Neodiprion lecontei: one gene and its partner. The protein of the gene in region 1 interacts with the protein of each later gene in a biochemical or structural test. Links are inferred from orthologs where the notes say so. Each region holds a gene or a part of one and is shown on either strand. Other genes may lie near its edges.

Region 1 (9,665 bases):
CTCTCCATGTCCTTAAGGTCGATAGTTTTGCTCAGCATCATCTTATAAAAGGGTCGGATGAAGAAAGCTTGAAGGAAGTGTAAGTGTTAAAAAATTTCTGCTTTACCAAACTGGGAATGATTGAATGAGTAATTAAGTAGCGACCTGCCATAATTACCATCTAAAAGTTTTCCGTGATAAACAGCCATCCCCGCAACGCGTCCTATGAATTTAAAATAGTTAAGATGCTCCTCGTTGCAAACTCCGGAGAACGGATTAATTTGTAGAGTATAATTGTCCCTATAACGAGAGATCAACAAGTTAACAAAAGACAGATAATGCGTCAACTCGCGATAACTTACATGGCGGAATATTCGAAAAGACCATAGTAAGGGTTGAACATTTCTTTCGATAGTAGAAAGAACCATTCTCGGGCAAGTCCACCATAGTCCAGACCGACCTCGCCTTCGAATTCCACCCACAACTTAGTCTTCAGGATCTCTAATCTAATTACGGAGCTAATGATGCGGTAAGAGTCCTCAAGGATGTTCGTCCTCCTCACTTTGATCTCGAATTTATTAGGCACGTTGTTCTATGAACAAGCAAGTCCAAAGTTACATCGAGATTGTCCAAAACTAAAAACAATTCATCAATTTAGAATGAACCAAGTAATTTTTGATGCACTCACTGGTTTTCTCAGCTGTGACTTCAGGTACTCGTATTTACGCTTGTAGTCCCTGGAGTACGGAACTGCCTGTAATTCAGGTATAATGTTCGCGAGATTAGTTTCTATACTTGCCCGATTATTACAATCAAATCGGAATAAAACAGATAAGATAAGCTTCAGCGTCATAGAAATAAATGATAACTTACAGGTCCAGCTATCTGAGGATTAGACATTCGCGGATCCTCCCATTGAGTGGTTCTTGTATCTGAAACAAAGTAATTTACATCAGTGTACATAATTATCATCTTGCTCAAAGGTTATCCAGCTATCGGCAATTTGAGTAAAACGGCTCACTGTGATCAATGAAGAATATGCGACCATCCGTATGCACTCTTTCCTCCCATCCTTCGGGCAATGGTCCTAACTGGTCTAAATCACTCCTTGGTGTTGCTGACGGAGCATTGTGACTCGGCATAGGACTGGCGCGCCCCGTTCTTGGGTCTACCCACGTCGTAGCTCGTTCATTGTGATCTATAAAAAACATTCTACCATTTGGTGCCAATTGCATACTCCATCCAGAAGGCAACCCGTCGCCATTCGGTGTCTGAGAAGCAGCCGCTGCCGGTGGAGCTATAGCTGTGGCCGGGGAAGCCGCTGGTATTACTGGACCATCAATCTGGATAAAAAAAATTGACAGAGAGATACAGAATACCTATGTTAAATATATTGAAAATTGGGATATCCATATGTACGGAGAAACAAGTATACCTGTTCCGAGGATCGCCTGGAACCATTCGGGCTATCAGCAGCTTCCTCACTCTGGGAACAAAAATTGCAGAGCATGATGAAATACCACCATCGAGAAAAAAAAGGCTGGCGTTGCTCGCAGAAAAAACAACGGCATGTATGTTTAAATACACAGGGATGTGAGGCCACAATATACTGGCAATTTTTTTATTTAAAATTGCGATATATATTGATATTGTTAAGCATTAGAAGTGATTGAAAGAAGGCAGCTGATAATCGGATATTTGCACAAAGAAAGCAAATGTGTAATATGGTTCGAAGTGAACGATGAATACCTGATCATCAGATTCGCCCAGGTAGCCGTGCTGATCGACTGAACGACCGGAATCCGATGAAGCATCCCCAACCACCCTTTCCCCTTGTTCCCCACCTTCGTCATTCTTGTCTTCCGCATGCTCGTCCTCCTCTCGAGGGACATCACCATCCTTATACACACATGCACAATTTGCTACACACCGCATGCTGCGTTTATACAACCCCTCACCACAGTTTTATTTGAACTTTATTTTTATAATTTTAGAAGTACTAATGTTAATAACAAACCATTGTAAGGTAGGATGACAACGAGGTTGTTATACTGTATAGCAAGTTGCTAATTCTATCAGGCAAAATTATTGGCAAAAGAAAAAGGTGAGTTGCACTTTGTGTTCTCACCTGATGAAGGCCAGAGCTTCGGTTATGCCTATTTTCTGCATCATCAACACTGATGTGAAAGCGTCTCTGGAACTCGGTTGCTGCGGTATCTAGATTTCGTTGCTCCTGTGTTACACCACCCGTTGGTGCTTGATTTCTGGAAAATAACCATAATCGATTGTCTGTAAGAACGGCAGTTACAGAAGAAGTTTACGATGACATGTATGAGGGGTTTGTAAAGAGTTGATGAATTCATACAGAACTTCACTTACAGGACTGTCGGCCGTTCCCATTGCGTGAATCTAGCTATGTGATTGACATAGTACGTTCTCCCGTTCGCGTCCTGTCTTTCTTCCCATCCAGGCGGCAGAGGCCCATTGACCATTATTGTCTGTAAATCAAAATTGATGAAGTCTAAGAATATGAGCATTGAAATATCACAGTTATTTCTCATTGTTAAAGAATTTCCCGTGCCCAGGTCGATCTTATATTCGATCGCTGTTCTCAATTCAAAATTTTGTGTTCATTTACTTGTAGAGTAACTGAAAGACTGTACTTTGTAGAAAAAATTAGGTAAACCAACCGGAGCAGCTTGTTCTACAGGACTATCATTAGACGTTGAAACGGGCTGGTCCAACAGTTCCCAACCACCGGAGTCAGGCGCAGTTTCACCTTCGCCATTGCTGCTCTCCCCTGTTGAGTCCGAAATGTATGCGTGGTACACTTCCAGCGTGCCTTTAACGCGCGACCGTTGACTGGAATGATTGCTAAGCCACGTCGTCGATCATTAATTATTTTTATCATCGCACAATTCTTGGTAAAAGATCAAGAAACAACATGGATAACATATTATAATATGTATCATACTCTGAAAACGGTGGTTCATGTGGATGTTGAATATAATTTGCATCTACCATTAGATAATATGATTGATGTGAGATAATCGTACCGAAACAAACATCTACAGCCAGCTACTCACCTACGTGGTCTAAGTATATATTGCTTGGCAGGAATGACGCGTCCTTCTTGTTCCTTGGGTAGATTGATTAAAGTCAGCTCAACCATTCCGAGAAAATCATCTCTGGTCAATCTGTTTTCGTCAAATACTTGGAGAATGAGTTTGTGCTCGGCTGGTTTGACCTTTGCAACAGCAAGATGCACAATTAATCGTCATTGCATTATCAATTTGACGTTAGATTATAATTTATCAGACACAACAGAAGGTGGTTACAGCAAACTCACCCTGAATATGAATTCTTCCTCCCAAACTGGGTTCAAGGTCTTTTTCTTAGTCTTGGTGAGCACTGAGTTGACGTTCCCATCTCCATTGATCTTGTTCAAATCAACTCGGACGTAAGGATCGCTCGCACCGAATATGTCCTTTTTGGCCAGTTGATGACCAGCTATAACCTTGAGCCTCAGCTTATTCGTTGCCTCCTCGTCCTAGGTACAGAAAGATAATAACAGGACGACCTTGCTGCGTTAGAATCGACTGAATTATCGGTAGATATTAGAGGAGGGTGACGCGACAAGGATACATACAATAATTGGAAGAGACCAGTGTAGAGAGAAACAGAGGGCGATAGAGAGAAAGAGAAAGAGAAAAGGGAAATATCACAAGTTCCCGGAAACCACCGACCCACTCTCTGGAGCGTAACGTTTGACGCGATTGAGCCGACAAGGATATTTTCCGACGATATTTCGTGCGACGGCAGGTAGACCCTGAAAGCCCTGGACACCTCGGATTTCGAAGATCGTGAAAGAACCCAACCTAGACCACTTGTCAGGGGAACTGTCAAATATCGTGTAGGACTCACCCCGTCGACGCCGGTCGTCGGATTGTATCCGTAAACATGTTCCTCTGCCATTAACAACACGTGGAATAAAAACGTTCGCGAATCGCCAGAAAAACGATCGTTTTCTATTTATTACGAATTACTATAATTTATTATCTGCCATCAAGAAGTCTGTTCTCGTATTACCCCCACTTTCTAAGTTGCCGTTCAGACGGCCGTTTCAAGTGCTGCCAACTTCGGATAATCAAAGTAACACGGAAGCTTTGTTCCGTCATGATCCGCCTTTCTGATCCCCCGCGAAACTTACGAATGGTCGTGCACACGGTACTTCGATGATTCCCATTGCCGCTCAATTCTCATTCATCAATTTTCATATTATCGACAATCTGGCGTATACCAGAAATTTTCCCATTTCTTTTTAACGCACTTTCATATCATGCGCAACAGATTTTGGCCCGTCTACAGTGCGCAGCAGGTACACGTACACTCAAATACGTACACTTGCGCCTTCGGTGACCGTGATTACCATCCGTGAGTGTCGCTGCACGTGTGTTTGTACGTACAATACAACATTCGAGGTCATCCGCGGGAATTACCTTTAATCTTATCAAAACGCAGAAGAAGCACCGTAAACTAATAACATCGACTAATATTTTCCCCTAGTGTCTGTGTACCTCAAGTTAGAAAATATAAGTATGGGTGTCAAAAATGGTTTGAAAAAAAAAAATGCAGTCGCATAATTTTTCTAAAACGTTTAGTAAAAAAAAGTTTGATATTCCCTTAACGCCGCACCCAGTCTCAATTGTAGTGATATCAGTGAAATCACGTGATTTACGGTAAAGTTGGTTGGTCGAGCGAATTGGCATACGACAAATCGAATGGTATAACCAACCGGAACAGCTATATGTGTACATAATACATACATATACATCCAATAAATTCAGTTACTTTTATTATTTCATACGAAGCGAGACACGGGTTGCGGTTTTAAATGTCGAAGATCACAGTACAATGTGCGATTCGTATCATTTACGTACGAACAAGCGAATCGCCAGTGAAAAACACCATTGACTCATAGAATTCTCACTTTGCGTATATTTATAATCTGGCTCACGTAGGTATATAGCATTTAAATATGTATGTATACATATACAGAGGCATGTTGTCCCACCACGCATACAAATGTAATACAATGTAGGTTATATATGATGCTACGGAGTTTCCTTATTGGGACACGTATCCTTACAGGACGTAGCGACAAGGGAGGGAAGAAGAAAAAGAGAGTTTCCTCACCGTGGTTGTGGGCTGGACGGAAAGGGAGAGCCTTCCAGCTCGGGATGCGAGAGTTTCCTGCGCGCTCGCCGAGGATCGACGTCGTCCTACCCATGTGCTGGTCCATGTGTTTGCTCGTCTTCTAGGAGGCGGTGGTTCGATCCCGGCGTAGATCGGGTACGTCAAGGTAGCCGGCATCTTCGAGAAGGTATCCGCAAACCGAATCGCAACGCGTCGAAGGACAGAAATGATCTATGGATCGACTAGGTGCCCAGGCTGGTGGCTGCAGCTTTTCCGTTCATAACTCGACTTAAACTTTGTATGCAATTGGTGTTCGGTTTCCTCTATTTTCTTTCTTCTCTCGAAGTATTAGACACGCTCCTGCAACGTATTTTATTATTATACGTACACCGTACGTTGTACGTGCCGAATAGAGATGCATAGAGGCGAGAATTACGGGCGTTATACGTTGCGTTGGGAGGATCGGGGTCCCGGATCACAGCGGTGGTGGATGTAGCCGATTAAAGTTAATTAGCGCGCACAATTACGTATATCGAACAACAAAATTTGACGATTTTTACATATTTTTACATTATAGGTATATACAAATACTTTTCTTCCCGCACCTTCGTTAAGAGCCACTCGTCGGCGTTACTTTTAGACTAGTTTCTTTATTCGTTTTGACACACACCACACACAAGCAGCAACTGTGAGAAATGGCTATACATATATATGCATACAGACAACGCGTTCTGCCAATATTAGCCAAGCTCGCCCCGCAAAATAAAGAAGCAAAAGCAAGTGGTGCTGTTTATCAAAACGATCAAGCGATCACCTTGTTGATCGTTATCAGCTAGCACACGCGGTTTAATCGCGATGTTACATAGAGAAAATTAACGAGAAAGAAATTACTCGTTCTTTGTTCGTTTAGCCGTACCCCACACGATCTCAACTTAATCAGCGCATTATTCTTCGCACACACACAACACCTACGCAATGCGCACGCGATATACTTGTTCCTCCTTGAGTTTAAGTTTCAAACTATTTCGCCAGGGCAACGAGGTGCAAAAATTTAAGGCAAGTATTCCGATCCGTAACGTTAAACGTGAAATTAAATGAATTGTCGCGGAAAACGTAATTCCCGAAAGTACCAAAACTTTCGAAGATAGATAAGAATGAGACAGCATCAGAGCTGCTTTAAATCAACGTCTGATAACACCGTCGTGCGCGACTCATGGACGACAGAGTCAAGAGATATGCACAGATATTACACGGGCGCGTATTGCGAGTAATGATAAGTGTATACAACATACATGATACGTTATATGCGCGTGAGCGTAAGCGTTAATACACTCCGCGTCGAGACGGTATTGAGGATTTTCTTAACACAGAAGTATTATGATAATTAATGACAAATTCACGAATTTTTTTTTCTTCCTTTTTTTCCCCCTTGTTCTCTCTTTGTTTTCCACGTACACGCGCGACTACGTAACGTACCGTGCTTTCCAGGTCACGCCTGACTGCGACAAGACGCGAATCGACCTAGGCCCAAGTAGAGAAAATTATGAACTACGTAATTGATATATGCAGTAATTTATTCTATAGTAGTTTCATTTACGCATTCACGCTGCGTCGCGGGCCGCCGACTTCCTGCGCGTAAACGAAAATGCCGATTATTATTGGCCGGCTGCAACCGCGGAACGTTATTATGCATATGACAGTAAATTGATACAGCGAAACTGTAAGGTGTTAATAGATTATAAGATACAATTACTGCTGCATTCTTGATCTTCTATTGTACAATTTTACATCATGTATATATGTTAATAATAAGAATAGTCATCGTCGTAATAATATGGCTATACAATAGTACACAATCATCAACTTATGGTAGACCGTTGACAGAATCATCAACACTCGGTACTTACCCAGCACCTCTCTCTCGATATACAACTATGTATAAAATATAAATAAATTAATTAATATGATAATTACAATTTAAGCAAGTTTCAATCCATATATATATATATATATGAACTGGACGTGATTCAAGTTTATAATTTTTTTAAATAGGAGCACGGAACGAATAACAATTTGCACATTTCTTGACGCTGCAAGGCGTGAGCCAAACAATATATAAATTTCATTTTGCAACGTACAGGTTTTTTCCACCCTGTTATTAGTTTCTAACAACTTCGACAAACTAATCAGCAATGGTCGCTGAAACTATAACAGCTGTGGCCCACGATTAGATGCTATCAAAATTAAAAAAAAAAAAAAAATAATACAAACAAGCTAATAGTTATGGATACTAGCTAACGGTATACAGTAGAACCCCGATTAACTGGGATTGGTTTAACCGGGGAGCGAATTAACCGTGACCCTCTGGAGCGCCTCCGAGCTTCGCGTGAGTAACCGGGTATTAGCGGTTGTCTTGGAAAGGGATTGGACTTGTGAAAATACCCTTAGTTCACAGACTGCATCACATGCTCGGCAGTCACTATTGAATCGATCGAAAATTACTAATAATTCGGATTAACCGTGATTTCACTTATTCGTGGATTCTTCGGTCTTGAGCAGCCCAATTAATCGAGGTTCCACTGTACTCGTAATTACAAAAGTCACGTGAGACAAATTCGCTCCTAAAAAAGAGCGTATGACAAAATTAAGAAACGGACAGTAGTCCAATGTCGATTTAATTAACACACCGCGTAAATAACAAACACGCGTACGGAACACGCGACAATCGCGGGCGTTGATATTTAGATACATATTAAACTAGTTTGATGATAAAAACTGGATAATTAATTATTTTGTTCGAGTAATTAATAATCCGTGGGTCGTTGATTTCAGTTCGCATAATGGCAGATTTAGAGAAGCCGATTCTAAGGTACCTTCACGGAAGTGATGAACGTCATAGGAATCTGCTAGGAGCTGTTGGAATGAAGTGGAATAACGAATTTCGGTCCGAACGGTGATCTGTAAGTGATACCAACGTCCGAAAATACTTTAGCAGGTAGGGCCAAATTGCAAAGATACAATCTTCCGTTATCCGCGCTATGGGACAGGGGCAATCCACCAAGGAGACTGAATTTTGTCATAATTCCTGGAGTCCCAGCTGACGGGGGTTCAATTGCAAGAACTGGTGCTCTATTGCTGTTCGCCCATGTTGCAACGGGAGCAACTGTCCTTGGCGAGCCTTCCTCGCCAAGAGCAAGGAGAATGAGATCAGCTACTGCGGGAAGATTCTTGTACCGAGTTTCAACCCTGTTTCCCGATAGCTTGTACAACGACAATTCCTGCAGCAGGAAGACGTCTTCCGAATTTTCAACGTACACGACAGTCTTCACCCCGTGACTTGACAATTGGCGAGCGCAATTGACACCCGCAGCTCCTGACCTGTGGGGTCCACACAGGGCGACTACCGTTGGCCATTGGTGCGCATTGTTCGGGTTTAGTCTATGCCCACCACCCAATAGCTGTAGAATTATTTCCGCTCCTGCACGACCCAGTAACTCGACCTAAAAATTTTGCAGAGAACAATAAAGAACGGAATAGTTTGGATGAAAGTGGTTTTTAGGCCTGTCAAGTTTCTCTACTTACCCTGCGATCCCAGCTAATACCTAGTCTATCAGCAGCACCGATTAATTGACGATGGAGATCGACCGTTATGCTAGGAATTACTAATCCATCGTCAGTTACATATTCCCGGATACCAGCAGACGGCACTGCAATTTGTCTGAATGCTGTAGGTTCGGATTCTATTACGTTTTCATCGTGACGATATTTTGGTACACTTCCTCTGGTGTTTTCAGACTGACGAACGATGTCTGGCTTCAAGGAATTTATTTCTTGCCACACAGCCTGTAATAGTTTTATTTAACTAATTAATTGTTGTATAGCGCTGTAAGTGGTGTGGGAAAAGGTATGAAAAGTACAGACATCAGATTTATGAAATGCCATAATTACCTCCTTATTGAACAGTGCTAAATTTTTCTCAAAATCAAAGTCCTGCTCCATCGACTGATCTATGGGTGTTCCAAAGGCTTGTTCATCTTTCTCCTGCCATCTTTGTCGTTGCGAACTCCTTTTCTGGTTTTTTGTGCTTATCTCGCCTGGAAATAACAGTTCGGAATTGTAATTTTACTTAAGTATATCCCACAATCTTTTACACTACGATATATCAACTGACAAACGTTAAAATTTTACTACCGAAAGTGCAGGAAATCCTACCTAGATATATTTTTCCATTAGCAGCAGGCTCTGGGTGTGACTGCATAGAATCAAGCGGTTTCCGCGCATTAGATTGCTGTTGAATATCGGAATTAGGAAGTACCAAAGGTGGAATGCATTCAGAAACGGATCTACCAGCTCGTTTTGCAATGGGTCGCCTCACCGTGACTTTGCTCGAAGTCTGAACTTCATCACGGCAATCCTCAGCTTCCTCTGTTGAGATTATTTCTATATGAAGTATGTCCTTGGCACTATAAGGGAATAAAATTAGAATTAAA
Region 2 (10,549 bases), on another chromosome or scaffold:
AAAATGTTACAATTTTTCATTAAACTACATATAATGGTGAAGATACTAGTACGAGGTGGATACATCAAAGAAGAAAAAGACACGTTTAGTCACGTTGCTATTGTGTCGTCGAAAGGTAAATTGTTGTTACATTGAATGAAATGAGATCAGTTACATAAATTCAGTTTCTGATACTTTAGGGAGCTTATTTCAATCTGCCGGTCGTCGACAATTTACTTTATTACATAGGAAAAGAAGGAAATACAATTTTCATAAAAATTATCCACTTTTTGTAAAGTTACACATTGATTTTTTGATTAATTTCAAATGTTGCAAGCCTTCGACTCTTCAGAAAAGTAGACTCGATATAGTAAACAACGGAACTTTTATGATAACTTGCGAAGAAAAAGAATAGAGCCATGAAATAATTGCTTCTGTTCAAATAAGATTACATCATGTTTTATTTGTTCAGCATTTCTTAAATAGTTAGAAACTCTTTTGTTTGAATTCAAACCAACGTTTCTAGTTGGAATCTACCGTGATATTATCATTTTGCGAATGGATAGGCGATTATTAACGAAACTAAAGCTTTGTTGTTTGGTTATTTATTAGCAATTGCTTTGAAAAATTGGAATTTTTCAAAAATAATTGCAATGTAAATGAATCTGCATTCTTTTCACCTGTAAAAGTTGATTAATAGCGGTACTTTCAAATGTTTGGAAGGTCTTCAATATTTTGTGATAAACATTTGGCGAACCTTAATCAAATCGCGTATGATAATTTTTGATCCTTCAGAACGTAACGATGTAGAAATGAAACGTGTACCGGTAAGACTGTTGAGTATAAAAATAAAGGTAGGTAGTAAAAAATTGCATGCATAAATATACGACGTTATATTTGGTCGTTATAAATATCGGATGTGATTTCAAGTAATGATACAGGAAAACTTTGTCAGCATCGAAAGAGTTTCAATACAGAACAGTGCCCACTACCAACAAACGGCAAGGTCGTTGTAATCATGATGTATTAAAGGCAACGTCAACCTACACAAGAAATTGCGCGCAGCCGTCTAATACGTACATAATATGTATGTATGTATGTACATAGGTACACAAAATGACGCGAAATATCAATGATTACGTACGCGGAGCAATAGATCCGAGAGAAGTAAAAAAGATTCGTTCTATTACTAGAGTCGGACGGGAAGGCAAAGGACAAAAAGATATGAGGGAATTAAACAACGCGGCGTGGCGTTGCGAGGATCTCCGGTGAACGGTGATTGGCGCAAGAGGGGTTCGCGTACCTGTCGAAGCAAGGGTGCCAGAATAAACGACGCTAATTCCGAGAACGATTTACCCAGATTTCAGGCGACTGTTTAGATATTTTGGAGCTTCGATGAAGCGGGATAGAATTTTGTCGACGAGTTGGATTGGCCATTGCTCCGCGAGGAAGCGGCGCGGGTCCTGACTCTTTATAAGATAAAAGGATAAATAAGGGCTGCAATGATGTAGTTACCATGTTTCGAGGTTGCTGAATTTTTTCGTGACAACCTTCCCGATGTCGATTCCAAGCCTGTCGACTATTCGCTGCGCCAGGTCCGGGTGCGACGTACCGCTGAATACTTTGATATTTGGCATTCTGCTCCGTAGTACACTACCGCCACGAGGTTTCTCTAACTTTGCGCGTAACAAACTCCTCGCACGGACTGGTTGCGAGACGGGCATTACTGTAAATCCGAACGACCAATCAGAGCCGTCCGGAAATTATCAGTATGCGGACCCAGCGCTCCCTCGTGTCAGCTTACCGAATTATTTGCATTTCAAATCTTTGATCTTAGGGTGGATTTTCACTGGCGGCAATATGCTTTTTTCACCGATAGGAATGCCGATAAAGTAATAAAGTGCTGCCTGATGCACGCTGAATGCGAATTATCCATTTTTATTATTATTTGCATTGGTCTGGAACTAGGCAGTAAAATACTGCCGCAGCATTTTGCTGTCCACGAAAAGCTCGCATGCCTCATGGGGTAAATGGTAACGGCCACTCGGTATACTCTATCTCTCTTGCTCTGCGCTATGATTAGCTGGTCGATCATTCAAATTGGCCAATTTTTCTGTTATTTTTTTATTTTTTTTTCATATTCTCACGAACTTCCAGCGAGTTTTAAGAGGATGCTACGGGTAGTCTCTAGTAACCGAATAAAATATCACTCATTTTGACTATTACCCAGAGTCTACGCATCACTGACATGAAAATGGCGCGGATAGCACATTTTAGCCACTGCAATGTCGAACAAGAATATTCAAAAGCTTCTGTCTTTCATGCAAGAATAACATCAGAAAATGTGCTCCTACAATTAGTAGTAATTCTATTACAGGAATATCATTGTAGCGTAAAACAAATACCCGTTGGGTTCTTGTGTTCTGCTTTCGATACAGAATAGTGCTATCACGGGACTACCTTTTCCCGTTAACGAATGCGTAGGCTCTGATAATAGTTAATCATAAGTGACATTTGACTTGCTCGGTAAGGACTGACTATAGAAACTTTTTTGTGAACTGATTTTGAATTTTGAGGATGTCGAAAATTGCAACAGATATTATCGTTTTCAAACCATTAAATATGACTCGAAGAGATAAAATTTGTTCATGAACGGGTACGGGGATAATTAAAAAAAAAATTAGGTAATGCGTTTCATAGTTCGGTCCGTACATGGCAGATATGATGCTGCAAACATATTGACATAAAATCGAACAGAATTGTAATTATGTACTTGAGAATCATTGAAGCATACATATTTACTATTCGTTTCATAAGTCAGCAGATAATTTAAAGTTTACTAATTAATCCGGTCATAGTTAATTTATTATCAATCGGTGTTCTGTCATATTATATTCCATTTTGTCACAGTATAATGTTACATATATATTATACATTTTTTGTACGTGACATCGTGGTCCAATTTGTTATTTTTTCAACTTTCTTCTTCAATTATAAAATTATTTATGCTGATTTAATTCATGCACTTACGTTACAATTAATGTAAAAGATTAATAGAATCGTTCGGTAAAGTATTTATATAAGTGCATTGCAGCGTTAAGATCTGACAGTAAAACAGTTAATATTCACCACTCAATATCTGTGAAGGCGTAGAATAAAACCTGCGTCATTGCTTACGTATTCCATAAGTAGTTGTTGAAGAATTGAATAAAAAAGTTATATATAACCATATTTACATGAGTCAGTGAATAAGTTTTTTGAAAATCTCGAACGAGATTGGTAGGAAAAAAAAAATTTCAAATTAGCGCCAAAGTAATCGCGGCGTGACTCTAGTCGGAATTTAAAGAGACAGGCAAGTGACAGTCACTTTTCTACTTTTCGTCTTTTCCTATCAATGTGGCGCTAGCTGTGATCGAATGACAAATTGTATGTAACCGCCAGCGGTTATTTGGGTAAAAAAAATACAGGTTGCGACAACAGTACATGAATTAAAAGAGCTGTTTAAATCGAGGTAAATACTGGCATCCGTACATTCGGCGGTAAATTATGTCAGTGTATTGAGTAGCTGGGAGTGATAGGGAGACATGGCGAACATTGCGGCGCAACGAATCAAACGGGAGTTCAAAGAGGTTATAAAAAGCGAAGAGGTGAGTGAATAAGTGCAACTTCTCAACGACCCAGTACATTTACCAGTATTTAGCCAAACGCGTGATCGCGAGAGAATTTCACATATTATGCAACGCTAACCTGTAACAAACGGCTAAACAGATTCTCCACGTACCAAGTCGTAGACAATTTTGAGTTGAGGGCACATCTCGCTTTCCTCGCTCGTTATAATTTTCAAACTTTCCTCTGACAGTTGCTTGCGCAATTATTTACCTCGTCTGAAAAGTGTCTGTTGTTATTAGAAAAAAAACATTTTCATTGAAAACTTATCCTTTTCACAAAATTCGTGAGAATCTCAAGTTCTTAGTACATGAAATATCCTATTCAGTTCATACTCATTTCCATAGAATCTTTATTTCTTCAATATCTACGTTCTCTGTCAGGTTCATCTTTTAGGTTTCATCATTTCTCCGGATATTTGAATACTGTTTTAGAGTCACTAATTAACCATCCAAAATTCCTGTTTGAAAAGATATCAATAAATGTAGCTTACTTACCATTTTCTTCTTCTTCCGTTGACAATAATTCGACATTTTCTGGGCTTGCCATAGATTTTTGGGTTGCAGTCAAGTTTTGTTTTTCCAAGACCCCTTTGTAGGCAGGCTATCACGATTTCCACGCTTTGTTAACAAACTGCTTTGAATCTCGTCACATTTTCTTACTTCAGACCGCTTCTTGCGCTAGTCGACATTTCGAAACTTTGTTATTTTCTACACATCATTACGGGTCGCGTTGATAAACTTGGCTTGGTCATTTTTTCTATAAAAGTATTACAGATTAAAGGCTACAGGGGGTCGGCAATCTTATTAAAAGTAGATTACTATTTCTCAGCAATACGATGTATCTGTTGAGCAGTACTGTTCGTATGAATCGCGATAATATTTGTGTTGATAAAACATAACAACCTCGGTGCATAGCTTGGTTGCCTTTCCCTTTTCTACAATTATAATATTCATTAAATATGCTGATAAGATAGTGTTGTGTTTCAGTTGAAATATATTTTCAATAGTTGAAGTTGATATTGAATATGGTCAACTTGTCAAATGATTTCCTCTTCTACTTTATTGGCATTTTCAACAAACAATAATTGACTAATCATGTTTATCTCTTTTCTCTAACATTTCAGGTGGCAAAATGTGCGATTAAGGTAGAACTAGTAAATGATAGCTTCACAGAATTAAAGGGTGAAATAGCAGGACCACCCGACACTCCATATGAAGGTGGCAATTTCGTGTTAGAGATAAAAGTACCTGAAACGTATCCATTCAATCCACCCAAAGTAGGTACCAAAACCATCATGAACAAAGATGTAGTATAAGATCTGAAGTCATTGAATTTTACACTTTTTTATTTCAGGTTCGTTTTATCACAAAAATATGGCATCCAAATATATCCTCGGTTACAGGCGCCATATGTTTGGACATATTAAAAGACCAATGGTAAGTTGCAGTCCAATAATGGTTACTAATATAATTGATCGGGTGATAATTTTGCACTCTGCAATGTCGTTGGTTCTATCACCTTACGACAGAATAATTGCATAACAGATTTTAGTTGCATTGTGTTTTAAACGATAATTGTCATCCTTTGTCAGGGCTGCTGCGATGACCTTAAGAACAGTTTTGTTATCGTTACAAGCCTTATTGTCAGCTGCTGAGCCTGATGATCCACAAGACGCTGTGGTTGCTAAGCAGTATAAGGAGCAGCCTGAAATGTTTCGTCAGACTGCAAAACATTGGACGTCTGTGTATGCTGGTGGTACAAGATTTATCTACTACGAAATTTATTAAAGTTTTTTTTACGAGTAAAGACCTCAGCGAACTAATGATTGTAATATCAAAAAATACCAAGAAATGCCTGATATTTTTAGGACCAGCTAAGATGTCAGATCTCGATGACAAGATAAGAAGATTGACTGATATGGGGATCGAAGAACATAATGCACGAGTAGCCTTATCCTCCTACAATTGGGACTTAGAACGTGCCACCGAACAGCTATTCAGTTAGTGATTACTGTGTATTCTTATGTATCATAAAAAGCAGCTACTAATTGGCAGCAACCTCTTGGAATGTCACTGTCACAAAAGCATACCATCGTGTTTTCAAATAATTGAGAAAAAAACCCAACATTCGTAATGACAATATTGCAATGGTGAGATAACTTTGGAAGTGATCCCAAATTTGACTAACTATTAGCATTCATTTAACATGTAAAATAGATACGAGAAACAATAATAATTGATGAACAAGTTTTAAGTAGCAAAATTTCATAAGGTATGTAACTCAAGAGGAGGGCATTATTACGATTTACGAGAATAAGTTGTAAATTCTAAATCTACAAGACGAAGCGACATTTATGTTTGAATAGACATATGAATGTTTTTTTTTTAATCAATTCCCAATAATCCACTTAGAAACAGCATTAGTAAAATATTTAAGAACCAAACACGTATTAAAATCTACGAAGATAATTGCTTTGATTAGGCACTAACACAGTTGCCAAGTGCTTCCCTGAAATTTTTCTTCAATCTGAGTTCAAGTTTTATGTGAAACCTCATTGCTGGAGGTGTGTATCCAATTGACTGCGTTACTAACGGTTGTACTACTCAAGTGTAACTCATTGTCAGTTCAATGAATGATGATATTACATGTTTTTGCCCCCAACTCTTATTGTTCGAATATAAATAAAATTATTAAACACTTCTTCAATTGTCAAAATTTGAAGATTGACTAGCTGATTATAATATCCTGCAGCATATCGACTGATTGTAACGGGGTTTCGCTTGACTCTTGAGTGTATATTAATCAAATTAACGTATCTTTTAGTCCTAATAAACGTATTTATGAAATTTCGGTAGCCTCCAAACTTGATTTGTGAATATTTAAATTTTGCACATTTTTTGAAGTTTGATTACTTGCAAACTTACACTACTTTTCATTATACCGACGATAAGAAAATTCCAAGAAATCAGCAAAATTAAACTTATAATTTTAATTACAGTGACGGTTATGGCGAAAAATTGAACGTAGCTATTTGATGAAAATACATTTCTTAGAAAACTTGGAGTGTAAGACGGCAGTGTGGTACGACAGGATATCGCATGGTCGGTCCCGTGCACGTTTGCTAAGTGATGTTGTATACGTTTCACGTAATGGAACATTTGATTAATTTAATCTACATCCTATCTTACTTCGATTGTAATTCTAAGAGTAAAGTTCTATTGCCAGGTGTGAAATCTTACCTGCATACGATGTACTCCAATTAATTGAAAATTGATAGTTATGTTTCATAATATTTCATGCATTTTTCAATCATTCACAATGTGCAGGCTGTGTCTGAAGTGTCGCCAGCAAGAGTCAAGGTCCAACTACTCGCAAACCAGTTTGTTAACTTGGGACAAATGGTTGGGATCTGTGAATTTGAATTTACAGGAAAACAAAAAAAAAACTCTGCTCTGTTCATATTGGGAAATTTAGGATTTATACCATTTAATAAGATCAATGTACATTAATAGGCCTCAAATATTAATAAAAGTAATTTTTTTTCAATACTTCTTTCAAAATTTGATCCACCTTGATTTGATCGTGGAAAAATATAAATAGTATACAGTTTTGAATTACTGGAAGTAAAAAAATTATTCGGTCAATATTTAAAAACAGGGCTTATAGCACTCTTAAAAAACGTGCCTAATCTATAAAGAAAATTTTTTTATTCGATACAAAATACTTACGCTACAATAATCGGTATCACATAAATTTAATTACACACACGTATATGACATATTGTATAGTTTAAACAAGTTTCTTTCACTTTCTATTTCACTAGTAAATAAAACACATTCGATTATGATTTCACATCATGCTATTCCTTAATAACACTTGACGTCAACGTCTGTATGCATTTATCTTACAAATAATCAATTACCATATTTATATGCCCTTAGTTTCTTTTGAGAGAGCGTTGCTAGAAAGAGGTCATTGTTTTTAGTATTAAAGGCGCAGAAGTCTATCACAGGATCAGAAACAGGAAGATTATAGATCTGTTTACCAGTTGATATGCTCCAAATTGGTATAGAGCTGGTAGCTTCTTGATGAGCGGCTAGAAGCGTGTCATTTTCAGTCTTTATCTGACACGGTCTAGAAAGTAATTTCTGTGAATTTCCACCTTGGAAAGTGTGAACGATATTGCAAACGATTATATCCTCGGTACCTTTTTCAATTGTACAAACAGTATGCCTTGCCTGCGGTTGCCTGGGGTTTGGGCGAGACGAAACCACGACATGTTTGCTTTCGGAATCGTAGCAAACTGACACAAACGGCCCTTCAAGAAACATTTGCTTGCCTGCAAACTCCGCATCTTTGCTTTCGTATGCGAAACAACTATTCAGGCGACAAGCTATGAACCCTCCAGCCGGTATTCCACTGTCGTAAGCTGGTGCAACCTTTGCTAAAGCGACGACCGGTGATCTGTCTCCTGGTCCGTCTATTTTGCTGATTGGGCCAGCCGTTTGTCTAATATCGAATTGTCTGACAGAACCGTCTTGGGCACCGGCCAAAAAGACATTGTGATTATTACCGGCCCAACAACAGCTCCATAGCTGAGAATCCGTCTGATAATTGTGAACCACTGTATTATTGTGGATGTCCATCAACTTTGCACACTTGTCGAATCCAACACTAAGGAGTATTTCGTTTATGTAAGGATTGAACGACACGTCTCTGATGGCCTGAGAATGCAGGAAGACGAATTGTCGAGATCGAAATTCTCTGGAATCAATTTTTTTTATTCCATACCCAGAAAATAAGGCATTTGTGGATTTTTGTGATATGACTAAGGTCTGGTACCACGCATTATAGGCAAGAACTCTGCACCCGCCATCTTTACAAATGTCAATCGATCGTTCAAGATGAAATTTCTTTAACATTGGTTGCGAATTTGAGTGCTGTAGGCTCGATTGATATTCCTTTCCCATTTGCAGTTGCTGACTTTCAAGTTCTAATATTCGCTGCTTCATACCAGCCAGCTGTTGGTCGAATAATTTCTGCCGTATTATGTACCTTTCCAGTTCCATCTGCAGCCGACTTTTCTCTGCTGTAACTTTGCTTAATTCTACTTTCAGTTTGTCCGCTTCACTAGTATCAACTGCTGATAACTTTTTGACATACAATACGCGTATATCCTTAGCCGAAGCCTTGTGATTGCACTGAGGACATCGACGCGCTCCTGCGTTACATCCAGTTTGTAACCAACGCTGAATACAACTATATCCAAACAGGTGTCCACAGCGTAAAGAACAGAGACGATGTTCTCCAGAGTTGTTCCACAGATCCATGCAAATCGGACATGATTGACCCGAATCTAGGTCTGCCTCCTCATCCGAGCCTGGGTCTTTTCTTTTGTTTCCTATGAAATGAGTTTTGTCCATCGAGATATATTTGAATTATCTTAGGTAGATCAACGGTAACTGTTAATACTAGTTTGTTTTGCAAGAAGCAATTACGGTCCCAAAGAAATCCGAAACATCAAATAGGGGCTATAATTATCTGGACCTTGAATCAATGTCAAATATTTCATATGACTTTGAGATGTCAAAGGAAACATGACTTGATACTATGATGAAACAATATGTAAGTGCTTACTGCACCTTTGAATATTACTAAATAACTCACCAATTTCGAGAAGCTCTTCGTTATTGTTGTTTGCTTGTGGTTTTTGGAAAATTGGTACATTCTCTTCCCCTTGTACAGATCGAAAGGTTATTGGTTCACTATGCTCAATAACCTGAGCTTCTTGGTCTGTCTCTGGTTCTGATATGTGTACCACTTCCCGTATAGGAGTGTTGACACGATTATCAGGAGCCAGGATTACTGGCTCATCTGCTTCTTGAACCTCCATCTCTTCTTCATCTAACATAATCAATATTCAATTAATAATAAGAATTGGATTATAAGTGTACATCAAGCTCGATGTTGAATGATAGCTGCGTGCAAGTGTTTCCTCAAAATCTTTGCCATTTTTTGATCAACTGTGTCTGTGAATAGTAATTTAATCGATGGTTAATCGTTTGCTGACAAGACAGGGTGAAACAAATTAAAGCATATAAATGAGGCAGAAAACAGTATCAGATGTGGGGTAAACGGTTAACGGTAAATTTAAAGGGCTTATTCCTTGGAAACGGAAAGAGAAAGATAAAAATCAACTCACTGTTTTCCATTTTTAACGAAGTCGGACAGGTTATACATTTAGAAGAAGAGATGAAGGTGCAATGCGGGATTAGCAATGGTTGAAACTTGAAATTAACAACAAAAAAGCGGTGATCATAGTAGGTAATTGGAAAAATATCACGTTTATACTTTTTTACCGAACCATCGATGTTGCCAAAGGACTTATGACTTGGTTTCACTCCTTTGGAGTGCTCACTTATTTACGCTCCGTTCTGTTAGGGTCGGTGTCCTAGTGAGAACAAACGGGAAATCGGAAATCTTCTCAATCTGCTTAATCTCATCGGTAAACAGTCAACGCGTCTTTCAACATCAATCGGTATTTGGCTAACAGCCTGTGTTAATTAAATATCCTTGAGTGTCAGCAACCGATGGCGGTTAATGGCGGTCGAATCTGCCTCCAATAATTGTAGGTAGAGTATCGCGATGACCCACGTTGATTGGCCACTCATTGAATCTACTTCGAATATTGGCGCTAATTTTTGACAACCTTAAATTTTAGGACTTTCAGAATTTTACAGTTTGCATCTTGCAACTTTTAATCAATAATATTCTTTTTCACAACTTTACACTTTGTTCGAACGTTGTAAGGGAAAACTTGCGGGATATGAATAATCGTTAGAAGATCGTCTCGTTAGAATGTTACAACACCAGAATGCAGGGTTCTTTCCCTTTTTATTGA

The links.
Region 2: the proteins of E3 ubiquitin-protein ligase Nedd-4 (region 1) and ubiquitin-conjugating enzyme E2-22 kDa form a complex in vitro, tested with the Homo sapiens proteins (2 studies listed by BioGRID). The link is inferred for Neodiprion lecontei from reciprocal best matches to the Homo sapiens genes NEDD4L and UBE2K.

What each region holds. Positions count from the first base shown.
Region 1 is NC_060266.1:25,980,914-25,990,578, reverse strand, and holds the start of E3 ubiquitin-protein ligase Nedd-4, read right to left. Parts: upstream 5,353-9,665; coding exon 5,176-5,352; exon of another isoform or gene 5,131-5,175; intron 4,997-5,130; exon of another isoform or gene 4,441-4,996; intron 4,307-4,440; exon of another isoform or gene 3,955-4,306; coding exon of another isoform or gene 3,904-3,954; intron 3,891-3,903; exon of another isoform or gene 3,629-3,890; intron 3,530-3,628; coding exon 3,329-3,529; intron 3,227-3,328; coding exon 3,066-3,226; intron 2,854-3,065; coding exon 2,670-2,853; intron 2,478-2,669; coding exon 2,359-2,477; intron 2,244-2,358; coding exon 2,108-2,243; intron 1,879-2,107; coding exon 1,729-1,878; intron 1,466-1,728; coding exon 1,415-1,465; intron 1,323-1,414; coding exon 1,001-1,322; intron 912-1,000; coding exon 853-911; intron 734-852; coding exon 668-733; intron 572-667; coding exon 342-571; intron 280-341; coding exon 158-279; intron 68-157; coding exon 1-67. Other genes in the region: enhancer of mRNA-decapping protein 3, read right to left, coding at 8,082-8,675, 8,758-9,018, 9,124-9,269, 9,388-9,638. UniProt on the Homo sapiens protein: E3 ubiquitin-protein ligase that mediates the polyubiquitination of lysine and cysteine residues on target proteins and is thereby implicated in the regulation of various signaling pathways including autophagy, innate immunity or DNA repair.
Region 2 is NC_060261.1:10,717,100-10,727,648, reverse strand, and holds ubiquitin-conjugating enzyme E2-22 kDa, read left to right. Parts: upstream 1-3,352; 5' UTR 3,353-3,563; coding exon 3,564-3,626; intron 3,627-4,771; coding exon 4,772-4,924; intron 4,925-5,001; coding exon 5,002-5,084; intron 5,085-5,239; coding exon 5,240-5,403; intron 5,404-5,515; coding exon 5,516-5,647; coding exon of another isoform or gene 5,648-5,652; exon of another isoform or gene 5,653-6,646; coding exon 6,647-6,669; 3' UTR 6,670-6,974; coding exon of another isoform or gene 6,975-6,985; 3' UTR 6,986-7,194; downstream 7,195-10,549. Other genes in the region: ribose-phosphate pyrophosphokinase 1, read right to left, coding at 1,495-1,703; E3 ubiquitin-protein ligase RFWD3, read right to left, coding at 7,563-9,049, 9,316-9,552, 9,851-9,860. UniProt on the Homo sapiens protein: Accepts ubiquitin from the E1 complex and catalyzes its covalent attachment to other proteins. In vitro, in the presence or in the absence of BRCA1-BARD1 E3 ubiquitin-protein ligase complex, catalyzes the synthesis of 'Lys-48'-linked polyubiquitin chains.